Mus musculus: one gene and its partners. The protein of the gene in region 1 binds, or shares a complex with, the protein of each later gene. Links are inferred from orthologs where the notes say so. Each region holds a gene or a part of one and is shown on either strand. Other genes may lie near its edges. The genes, in order: Tbp, Taf10 and Taf4.

What was found.
Region 2: Tbp (region 1) and Taf10 share a complex: the UniProt entries of both Homo sapiens proteins name them as parts of the TFIID basal transcription factor complex. The link is inferred for Mus musculus from reciprocal best matches to the Homo sapiens genes TBP and TAF10.
Region 3: Tbp (region 1) and Taf4 share a complex: the UniProt entries of both Homo sapiens proteins name them as parts of the TFIID basal transcription factor complex. The link is inferred for Mus musculus from reciprocal best matches to the Homo sapiens genes TBP and TAF4.

The regions. Positions count from the first base shown.
Region 1 is NC_000083.6:15,502,888-15,506,540, forward strand, and holds part of Tbp (TATA-box-binding protein), read left to right. Parts: intron 1-77; 5' UTR 78-187; coding exon 188-241; intron 242-1,386; coding exon 1,387-1,760; intron 1,761-3,653. UniProt on the Homo sapiens protein: The TFIID basal transcription factor complex plays a major role in the initiation of RNA polymerase II (Pol II)-dependent transcription.
Region 2 is NC_000073.6:105,742,273-105,745,254, forward strand, and holds Taf10 (transcription initiation factor TFIID subunit 10), read right to left. Parts: upstream 2,067-2,982; 5' UTR 2,047-2,066; coding exon 1,815-2,046; intron 1,713-1,814; coding exon 1,558-1,712; intron 1,221-1,557; coding exon 1,156-1,220; intron 1,069-1,155; coding exon 954-1,068; intron 792-953; coding exon 702-791; 3' UTR 622-701; downstream 1-621. Other genes in the region: Ilk (integrin-linked protein kinase), read left to right, coding at 1-65, 241-390. UniProt on the Homo sapiens protein: The TFIID basal transcription factor complex plays a major role in the initiation of RNA polymerase II (Pol II)-dependent transcription.
Region 3 is NC_000068.7:179,921,130-179,924,782, reverse strand, and holds part of Taf4 (transcription initiation factor TFIID subunit 4), read left to right. Parts: intron 1-196; coding exon 197-366; intron 367-673; coding exon 674-804; intron 805-1,703; coding exon 1,704-1,829; intron 1,830-2,815; coding exon 2,816-2,872; intron 2,873-3,511; coding exon 3,512-3,631; intron 3,632-3,653. UniProt on the Homo sapiens protein: The TFIID basal transcription factor complex plays a major role in the initiation of RNA polymerase II (Pol II)-dependent transcription.

The DNA of each region.
Region 1 (3,653 bases):
AATAGTTCTGTGTTTATTTTGTGTGAACATGAAACCTATGTCCATCTATTAAACTTAAAACATATTTTTCCAAGCAGCATCACTATTTCATGGTGTGTGAAGATAACCCAGAACATTGAAGACGTTTCTAAGGAGATATTCAGAGGATGCTCTAGGGAAGATCTGAGTACTGAAGAAAGGGAGAATCATGGACCAGAACAACAGCCTTCCACCTTATGCTCAGGGCTTGGCCTCCCCACAGGTAATAGAGCAAGAGGGAGGGGCAGAGAGGGCTCATATTCCCTTTAAGAGAAAGCAAAAGACAGTGACATTTACCATGCAGTAGTGAACGTGGATTTTTAGGTTTTTAAGCTTGTTTTACTTTGTGAAGATTTCTGAGTTAGATAGCTGTGATGTTCTTTTGTTTGGGAAGTTTAGTTGGAACCTAATTAATTAGAAGACTCTCTATGAGCTGTAGAGCATTTATCTTATTTACTCCAATAAATAAATTTATTGCTCCTGTTGCAGTCACTTTCCTATCCTGATTACTACCAAATCTGCTTTCAAAATTAAACATTGGTTTTGATGCTAAACATGTGCACGTATGTGTGTATGTGTTTGCAATAGAATTAGACCTAGATTGTTACCAATTCCATATACATTTTACCATCTCCAGTGTTCTTCTGCCTCCACATAAATAATTAGTTCTACTTTATTTTTATAAATAAAATGTTTAATTATAATTAAATATATGTAAGACATAGAAGCATTATAGAAAAGGCAGTTGACAGTATTTTACAGACTTTGTTGATTTTTGTTTTTAGTAGAATAAATTACTTTTTATTAAATAGTATGATAGAGGCATCCATGAGTCTGTCATCCATCATCCATGTGATCCGTCGTCCAAAACTGACACGTGCTTAGTCAGTGGATAATCATCATATATTAAATAGTACTTTGTGGGTGGGGGTGGGGTTGAGACAGGGTTTCTCTATGTAACAACATCCCTCAAACTTGCGTTGTAAATCAGGCTAGCTTCAAACTCACAGAGATCCACTTGCCTCTGCCTCCAGAGCTAGGATTAAAGACGTGCCACCATGCCTGGGTACTGGGCAGTACTTTAAATTGGGACATAGGCTTTTTTCTTTATGGTCTAGATACACATGAGAGGCTAAACATCTTCCTTGCATATCATAAATAACATTTTCAAATCCTAAGTGTTCATCTTCTATGGTCAGTACTACAGAAGATAGTTGTGCATCTCAGGATACAAATTCTTCCCTAGTATTTAATGACCTATTATATTCAGAAAACATTAGTCTTTTTACTTTACTTGGGTTTCACTAGGGAAAAACCTAAATTACTCACCATCAGTATCTTAATCATTGCTCTCTTTGCTTTCCACAGGGCGCCATGACTCCTGGAATTCCCATCTTTAGTCCAATGATGCCTTACGGCACAGGACTTACTCCACAGCCTATTCAGAACACCAACAGTCTCTCTATTTTGGAAGAGCAACAAAGACAGCAGCAGCAACAGCAACAGCAGCAGCAACAACAGCAGGCAGTAGCAACTGCAGCAGCCTCAGTACAGCAATCAACATCTCAGCAACCCACACAGGGTGCCTCAGGCCAGACCCCACAACTCTTCCATTCTCAAACTCTGACCACTGCACCGTTGCCAGGCACCACCCCCTTGTACCCTTCACCAATGACTCCTATGACCCCTATCACTCCTGCCACACCAGCTTCTGAGAGCTCTGGAATTGTACCGCAGCTTCAGTGAGTACCTCTCACACCACCCCAGCCCCTGTGCGTAACAGTGAGTGCATGCGCGTATGTATTCATGCGTTTTCTGTTGTGTTCCTTGTCCTCTGTCCCCTGCCCTTTGTCTCTGCACCAAAGGAGGCGCTCAGTGTTATTGTACTGTTTGCTTCCAGACACTGGATTTACTTAAGGAAGTGGCCCAGTGGTAATTCTGTTATACTGTGACTTTATCTGTTCTTGTAGGAATTGAAGCTACAGAGTGGGTCAGTACTCTCAGCAGAGACTTTCCCTTAGAAATGGAGTTGCTTGTGTTTGTGTATTCGGGCCACAGAAATGCAAACTGAGCTTCAGTGATACTGTGGACATTTCCTTGTAGCTAATTGGCTGAGTCACTGGCCAGTTGGATCACAGCTTTGACTGTATCAGCACAGGTCTTAGGGGTCCAGGATTTTCTTCAGTTTTGGCTGTGAGGGCTGTATTTATATCTTTGGAGATCTATGTCACTCTCAGAGTAGGGATAGCAGTTCTTATCTTGATGAATTTTTCTGCCTAAGTAAAGTATTTCCCACATGTAAAAAAGGTGGGAGATTCAGGCTTTTTTCTTCCTCAAACAGCCCAAACTTTCCAGATACCATTTAGTAACAAGAATCTAGCTTTACTTTAAGAAAGCTTAAAGGCTGATTAAAGAGTTCTTTGCAGACAACACTATTTGGGTTTTGTGTTTAGTAACTCCACCTTCCTACTTTCAGCGTTGTTTCCTATTTACACTTAGCTTTCTGCATATATATCGTCATTTGTAAGCCATGCCACCTCATTTTTAAGCTAAGTGGCATAACCTGATTCTACCTTGGCTGTACACAATTTTAAGGTGACTTTTGAGTTTAAAGAGATAAGCCCTATAAGCACTCCTTTTGTTTGTACTGTTGTAAACTATTTCTTTATGCCTGTTTGACGTCCACAGGCATTCAGGCTCATACTTCTGATTAAAATCATTTGTGAGAGTCAGCTTAGGACATACACTTTTTTCCATATCCACAGAGCATGCAATCAACCACATTACTGTTTCCATTATCTAAAAACATTCCTTATTAGGTGTCAGTTCAGCAGCCTTATAAAGAATTCAGGTAAATATTTAACTTTTTTTTAAATTTATTATTTTATTATCTACATTCCAAATGTTACCCCCTTCCCAATATTTAACTTTCTAAAATAACACATTTATCATTTGCATGGCTAAATTTGTGACAGGCGCACCAAAGTGTACCTGAAAATTCACTTCACGTATGGGCATGCTGAGTCAAACCCATTTTTAAGTAAAACAAGAATTTTTCTTAGTATTTCTTAGGTTGGGGGGAAATAGATATTGGAAAATTGAAAACATTTGATCTACCTCACTTTCTGATTATGTACTAGAGAAAACTAGTCCAGTAAAATTTAATTTTTAAATTAAATTTTTGGGGGTTTTTTTGAGACTGTCTCACGTGATAAAGCTGGCTAGGGTGGTGCTGTCTATGGAATATAAGCTAGCTGCTTTGAATTCTTGAGAATACTCCTGCCTAAGCCTCCCACCGTGTTGCCTTGCTGTTCAGCAAGACTTTGAGTCACAAGATTTCAAAAGTATTCTTTGTAGAGAGTAAAAAGAGAGCAGGGAGCAACAATGAACTAGAGCTGGTTGTCTGGAGTTCTTGTGTAACAGTTGATGGTCTATTAATTGCATTTGATGGCATTGTTCATTTCAGGTCTGTCTACTTTGAAAGACCTAGAAAACTACAGAAAAAGTTGAGTTTGCTATGTTTCAGTTTTTATTAAAAGTTCTAGGCCAGGTGGTGGAAGCACATGCCTTTAATCCCAGCACTGAAGAAGCAGGGGCAGGCAGACCTCTGTGTGTTCCAGGACAACCTGGTCTAC
Region 2 (2,982 bases), on another chromosome or scaffold:
TGTGGGAACTGGTGACACGAGAGGTGCCCTTTGCTGACCTCTCTAATATGGAGATTGGGATGAAGGTGAGCACAGAACTACAGATACTTGTTTAGGGGTGGTGGTACTGACAAGCACTGTGGTAAGCGCTTCCAGCAGTTTATACAGATAAATAGTAATCTTACCATTCAAGGATCAAAGGCTTTTACCCATATGATGAACTCAAATTCTGAAGCTCACCTTATTCCTTGTAATTTGCAGGTGGCACTGGAAGGCCTTCGGCCTACCATCCCACCAGGTATTTCCCCCCATGTGTGTAAGCTCATGAAGATTTGCATGAATGAAGACCCTGCAAAGCGACCCAAGTTTGACATGATTGTGCCTATCTTGGAGAAGATGCAGGACAAGTAGGACCTTCAGGTCCTTGCCCAAACTCCAGAAGTGTCAAAACATGGCTGGGGGAGTACACTTCTCCAAAGTTAAAGACCTCTGGTTGCCTCCCCTGTCTCTAATCATGGTACTACCCCAGTTATGGGACTTGTTCCCTGCTCCCATCCCTACCACTGTAGCCCCAAAAGGGGCTGGGCTCAGAGCTTTGTCACTTGCCACATGATGTCTCCCAACATGGGAGGGATCAGCCCCGCCTGTCACAATAAAGTTTATTATGAAAACAGGCTCGTGTGGGGACAGAGGGAAAGACAAATACATCTGGGTTGCGTGGCTCAGGTGAAGTAGTGCGGCTTCTTCACATTGATGCCATACTCGCTGAGGGCAGGGGTCAAGTCCTCCATGGTTAGGGTGTACTTGCGATCCTGGGGGAAAGAGGGAAGACCACCAGCTGAGCACAAGTGCAGACTCCAATCCTTTGTGGGTGACCCTGAGCAGGCCCAATACCTCCCCTAGGATTCTGCTTCCCCAAAAGGCTTTCAGGATAAGTTAGGCCTGTACTGCAGTGGAAGGTGAGCCTCTCACACCTTGCTCTTGCTCCGGGAGCTGCCAGAGGCTGTGCCCTTCATTTTGCAGTGCTGTAGGGCATCATTGGCAATATCTGAGATGAATTTCTGGGCAGCTAGTGAGATGAGCCGAATTCTAGAGAGGAAGAGGGTGGTAGTAATGAGAATATTTAGCAAACTCCACCTAGCACTCAACAGTCTAACCTGCTCCGAGTTTACTCACATGCGTGGGTCTGAAGCTTCAAAGCCAGCGCGGTTCAGGTAGTAACCAGTCACTGCATCTGGGATCTGAAAAATCAAATTAAACAGCCATCAGTGTTAGATCTGCCTATTGATGCGCTGGCTGGGACGGAGGACTAAAGAGATAGCTTCATGCCAGGCAGTGGTGGCACACGCCTTTAATCCCAGCACCTGGGAGGCAGAGGCAGGCGGATTTCTGAGTTCAAAGCCAGCCTGGTCTACAAAGTGAGTTCCAGGACAGCCAGGGCTACACAGAGAAACCCTGTCGCGAAAAAACAAACAACAAAAGAGATGGCTTCATAGCAGAGAAAGCTTGAAAGAACGAAGGTGTGGTTCAAAGGCATTGACAGCGAGCCAGGTGGCCTTGTTCAGGTGGGAAGCGCACCGTAGGTGTGTAATCCTCCAACTGCATCAAGAAGTCCACTAGAGGTGTGCTGGACACTACGGGCTTCACTTCTCCGTTGGCCGCGCTCGGTAGGGCGTAAACCCCGTTAGACATTGCCCCCTCCGGGGGAGCCGCGCCGCCCGCTGCCACCGAAGCTGAAGGAGAATCAACAGCACAGGTGAGAGGCGCAGGGTTCCCCTGCCCCGGCACCTAGTCCGAGATGCCCTCCTCCCTCACCCGGCCCGGCCCTCCCTCACCTGGCCCGCGCCGCTCTGCCGGCTCCCCTGCCCGTGCCGCCACGGGGCCCGTGCCCGCAGTGGCGACTCCAGCCACGGGGCCCCCTGCTGTCCCCGCGGGGCTGGCCTTGCTCTCCGCGGCCGTGCTAGTGGGCAGCGCAGCGGGAGCCGACACCAGGGGTGCCGGACCCGCGACCGAGGCGGCACAGGCGGTCGCCGCCTCGGGGTCCGCGCCGGAGCCGCTGCAGCTCATGGGGCCGGTGGGAAAGGCGGCGAACAGAGCCGCTTCCGCTTCCGCTCGCCCAGGCGCACGCTGCGTGACGTTACAGTTCCCGCCCACCACTCTAAGCTGCCGCGGGCGACCTTAGGTTGGCTGTTAGTGGATGAGGTGTAGACTTCAAGGCGGAGGCGAGCTGTGTGAGATGTGGCTGCCACCCTGCGGTTCCACCCCGGCCCGGGTGGGGCCGCAGAGCATCCAGGACTGAATACTTTATCTGGGTTCGTTCAACGACCTGGCTTGGGGACTCATCTGCCAGACACTTCATTACCAGTCTCCTGACGGTCTTCATGCATTCTTTGTAGTTCCCTTTCATGGTCTTTTAAGGGTTGCAGTGGATTTGATGTGTGTCCCTCCCACCCACAACGGGCTTAGGAGAGTACCTCTGTAAATGTAGAGATGGGTGTTTTACCCTGAAGAAATAGCATGCCAAAGTCTTGTGTGAAACACATTTACAATACAACAGACTTTTTTTTTAAACAGTCATTTATTTAATTTCTATTTGGGCTGGGACCTAGGAATACAAAGTTAAGAATCAGATTCTAGTTCACTAGCACCGACTGTCTGGAAAAGGAAGGCAAACAAACTGACAATTTCAATACTGTATGATTGTTTCCCAGCTACATGTAGGTGCAGTGCAAAGAAGAAAGGGAAACTAACATTCATTGCTTAATTCCAAGTGTGAGACATTAGCAATGTTTATTTCCCGATTTTGAAGGCAAGTTTCAATGTCTCTGACTTTTACCCAGTAATCTTTGAAGGGTTTGCACAAATACATAGACTGCTTGGTTTGGAAGATGAGGGGCTTCGGAAGCCTTTCCTCTCCCCAAGTGCTTCCTGCAGTTTAGAAGAAAAAAGAACATGGGCTCAAAGATAATGCAGTATTTTGTGCATGTGTGTGTGTGCACATAT
Region 3 (3,653 bases), on another chromosome or scaffold:
AACACTAATTTTTAAACAAGGCAGCAAAGCACTGTCAGACAAAAGGACAAGGCCAGTGTAGGAACCTCATGTGTGTGTCTGTCCATCTCAGTGTCCCTCTGCTATTCCCTGTCCCCTGCAAGCTGCCACTGAATTAGAACCACCTTAGTGAGTTATGATTCCTTCATGCAACAAGAATGTTCCTCTCCTTTTGCAGGGATGATGATGACATCAATGATGTTGCGTCAATGGCTGGAGTGAACCTGTCTGAAGAAAGTGCAAGGATATTGGCCACAAACTCTGAGTTGGTGGGGACGTTGACCCGATCCTGTAAAGACGACACCTTCCTCCTCCCCGCGCCTTTGCAGAGGAGGATACTGGAGATAGGTACGTTTGAACCAGATGATGTCACTGGGATGCTGTGTGTCCAGATCGCTGTCTGATGTGCTCCATGACTCTGGCAAGACTCAGTCCAACCCTTCTGCAGTAGCTCCACTGCCTTGTCTTGGGCTCACCCCATAGAGGCTCCACTGTTGGTTGGCAGGTAGTAGAAGGTGGGCAGTGGCCATCTGCTTCCTGCTTAGATTGCCTTTGATTGTGCAGAGCAGTAACTAGTGGGTGAGAGAAGCCAGTGCCGTGATAAAGAAAAACTGGGTAAGTACCATAAAGTGCTTTTTTTCTGCATGGCCTGCAGGTAAAAAGCACGGCATCACGGAACTGCATCCAGATGTAGTGAGTTACGTGTCTCATGCCACACAGCAAAGGCTGCAGAATCTTGTAGAAAAAATATCTGAAACGGCTCAGCAGAAAAACTTCTCTTATAAGGTAATGAGGCTGTTTTCCCGGGGAGAATGTTCGTGTTCTCACCTGACCTGGGCTCTCTGGAAGCCTTGTTGTCCTGGTTGTTCCTGTGCTCACTCTTGGCCACACACACTACCTGTAGGAGGTCTTGCATCTGGGCTGGGGATGTGCTCTGCAGTTAGCCTGCTTTGGAAGATGGGGCTGTGAGCTTAAGAGACTATGGAGGGAGTCTTGTATTCTTACTCCTTTTAAAGTGCCCAGTTCCTGTAGCCTGGCCCATTTTGAGCCATGAGCTGCAACTACAGGCTCTTTGCCATGTGGGGTGTGTGTGTGTGTGTGTGTGTGTGTGTGTGTGTGTGTGTGTGTGTGTGTGTGTGAGAGAGAGAGAGAGAGAGAGAGAGAGAGAGAGGGTTTTCGACCAGAATATGTCTTGAGCAATTGCACAGATGAAGGAGTCTGTGTCTGATTCTTTAGAGCAGCTCACTGTGAATTGTCAGCTTTAAAACACTTCTAAAGTTGGAATTGGTAGTGTATACCTTTATTCCTAGTACTTGGGAGGCAGAGGGAAATGGATCTCTTTGAGTTCAAGCACAGCCTTGCCATCTATAAATCGAGTTCCAGGACAGCCAGGGCTACGCAGAGAAGAACAAACAAACATTTCTACACAGAAGGACTTAAATATCTCTTAAAAATGCCAAAGTGTATCAAATGGAAACCTTTTATGGATTTCCTGGTAACTGGATGAGACTTGCTGTCCTTGTGAGGCCATGACTGGAGTGGTGAGGTGTGAGCAGCTGCTACCACCATGGAGCTGTGTACACACTGTCCAGCTGTGCGAGGCACGCTCATAGTTTGTTGAAGTTCCAAATTTGTGGTAGACAGTGTTTTTACTGACTTTTTTTTTTTTTTTTTTTTTTTGGTAGGACGACGACAGATACGAGCAAGCGAGTGATGTCCGGGCTCAGCTCAAATTCTTTGAACAACTGGATCAGATTGAAAAGCAGAGGAAAGATGAGCAGGAGAGGGAGATCTTAATGCGGGCAGCGAAGGCAAGTTACTGTCTCCAGCTCAGGCTCAGCTTGCAGTCTGCCCCTCCTAGCTTCTTACCAGGCACACTGGCTTGTTGTGCTCATACTCTGGAGGGAGGGTATTGTGAGTGGAGCTGGATAGGTGGGGTACTTCAGCTGCCGGAGGATGCACTCCAGTTTGAGATTTGATATAAGAGATGTGGCAGTCCGGCAGTGGTGGCGCACGCCTTTAATCCCAGCACTTGGGAGGCAGAGGCAGGGTGAGTTCCAGGACAGCCAGGGCTATACAGAGAAACCCTGTCTCCAAAAACAAACAAACAAAAAAACCCAACAACAGCAACAAAAAAAGAGATGTGGCTCTCTCATGTTGTTAGTTAATTAATTTAAAAAAGTTTTATTTTTGAAATAAGGTCTTACTTATTATGTAGCTTTGGCTGTCCTGGAACTCGCTATGTAGACCAGGCTGGCCTTGAACTTACAGAGATCTTCCTGCCTCTGCCTTCTGAGTGTTGGGATTAAAGGTGTGTAACACTATGCTTGGTGGTGTGGGCTTCTTTAAGATTCTGACCTCTTCCCTTCCCTGTGGTTCACATTGCCCTTCAGTCAAAGCACTCAGAGCTGAGTGTGGGAACTTTGTGTATGATCAGAGTCATCTAGAGATGTTAATCCCAATGTCAAGATTTTTGTGCAGTAGGAAAGTGACAGTTGAATGCCACCCTCAGCCGCTGAGCCCAGTATGTCTGGAAGCTCTGTCCAGGCTTTCTTTCTCAGTCTACACTGAGTCAGAGGCATATGACAAAACTGGTAGCCATATGCCTAAGGCTCTTACTGCATCTGGGTGGCAGTGAAGACTTTTTTGTTGTTGTTGTTTGGATAGAAACCTTTATAGAATTAGCAGGCACTGTCTCCTGGCTAGGTACTGCTGTAGATTGGACATGGCGCTGTGGGTCAGTGATGCGCATGGAAGGAAGGCATGACTCTTCCCTCTCTCCTTCTTTCAAAAACAGTCTCGATCCAGACAAGAAGACCCAGAGCAATTAAGGTTGAAGCAGAAAGCAAAAGAGGTGAGTTTCTCTGTTTGGACTCCTCACGGCCCTTGCAGCTCATGTTCATGCTCGGTGCCCACAAAGAGAGAGTAGTTAAGAAACCTGGAGTCACTGAAGGTTCACATCCATTGCTTATTCATGCTCTTGGGCGGCCAGGCAGCCCAGGCTCTCTCTCTCTGTGCTGTGTGCATTTGGTTGGAGAGGACCTGTCACTTACTTCTGTGAGGTTAGGCTTCTAAACCCCTTCTAATCTTTTGAGCACTTTAAGGTAAGCTTCTGTTTTAAAAGTTTTGTAATTATTTTGGGTCACAGACATGTCCTTAGTTTAAGAGCCTCAACTTTAAAGAAATTGTAACTTGGGCTGGAGAGATGACTCAGTGGTTAAGAGCACTGACTGCTCTTCTAGAGATCCTGGTTCAATTCCTAGCAACAACATGGTGGCTCACAACCATCTGTAATGGGATCTGGTGCCCTCTTCTGGTGTATCTGAAGACAGCTACAGTGTACTCATATAAATAAAATTTTTAAAAAAATCTTATTTAAAAAAAGAAGTTGTAATTTAGGAAACTTGAGAAAGTTCTTGGTAGCTGTTGATTGCTACATTTGCAGTAAGAACTCTCAAAGCAATGATAGTTCTGTTTCCTTCCCAACATGAAGATGCAGCAGCAGGAGCTGGCACAGATGCGACAACGAGATGCCAACCTCACTGCACTGGCAGCGATCGGGCCCAGGAAAAAGAGGAAAGTGGACTGCACTGGGCCAGGATCAGGAGCAGAGGTACAGCAGAACATGAGGAGGC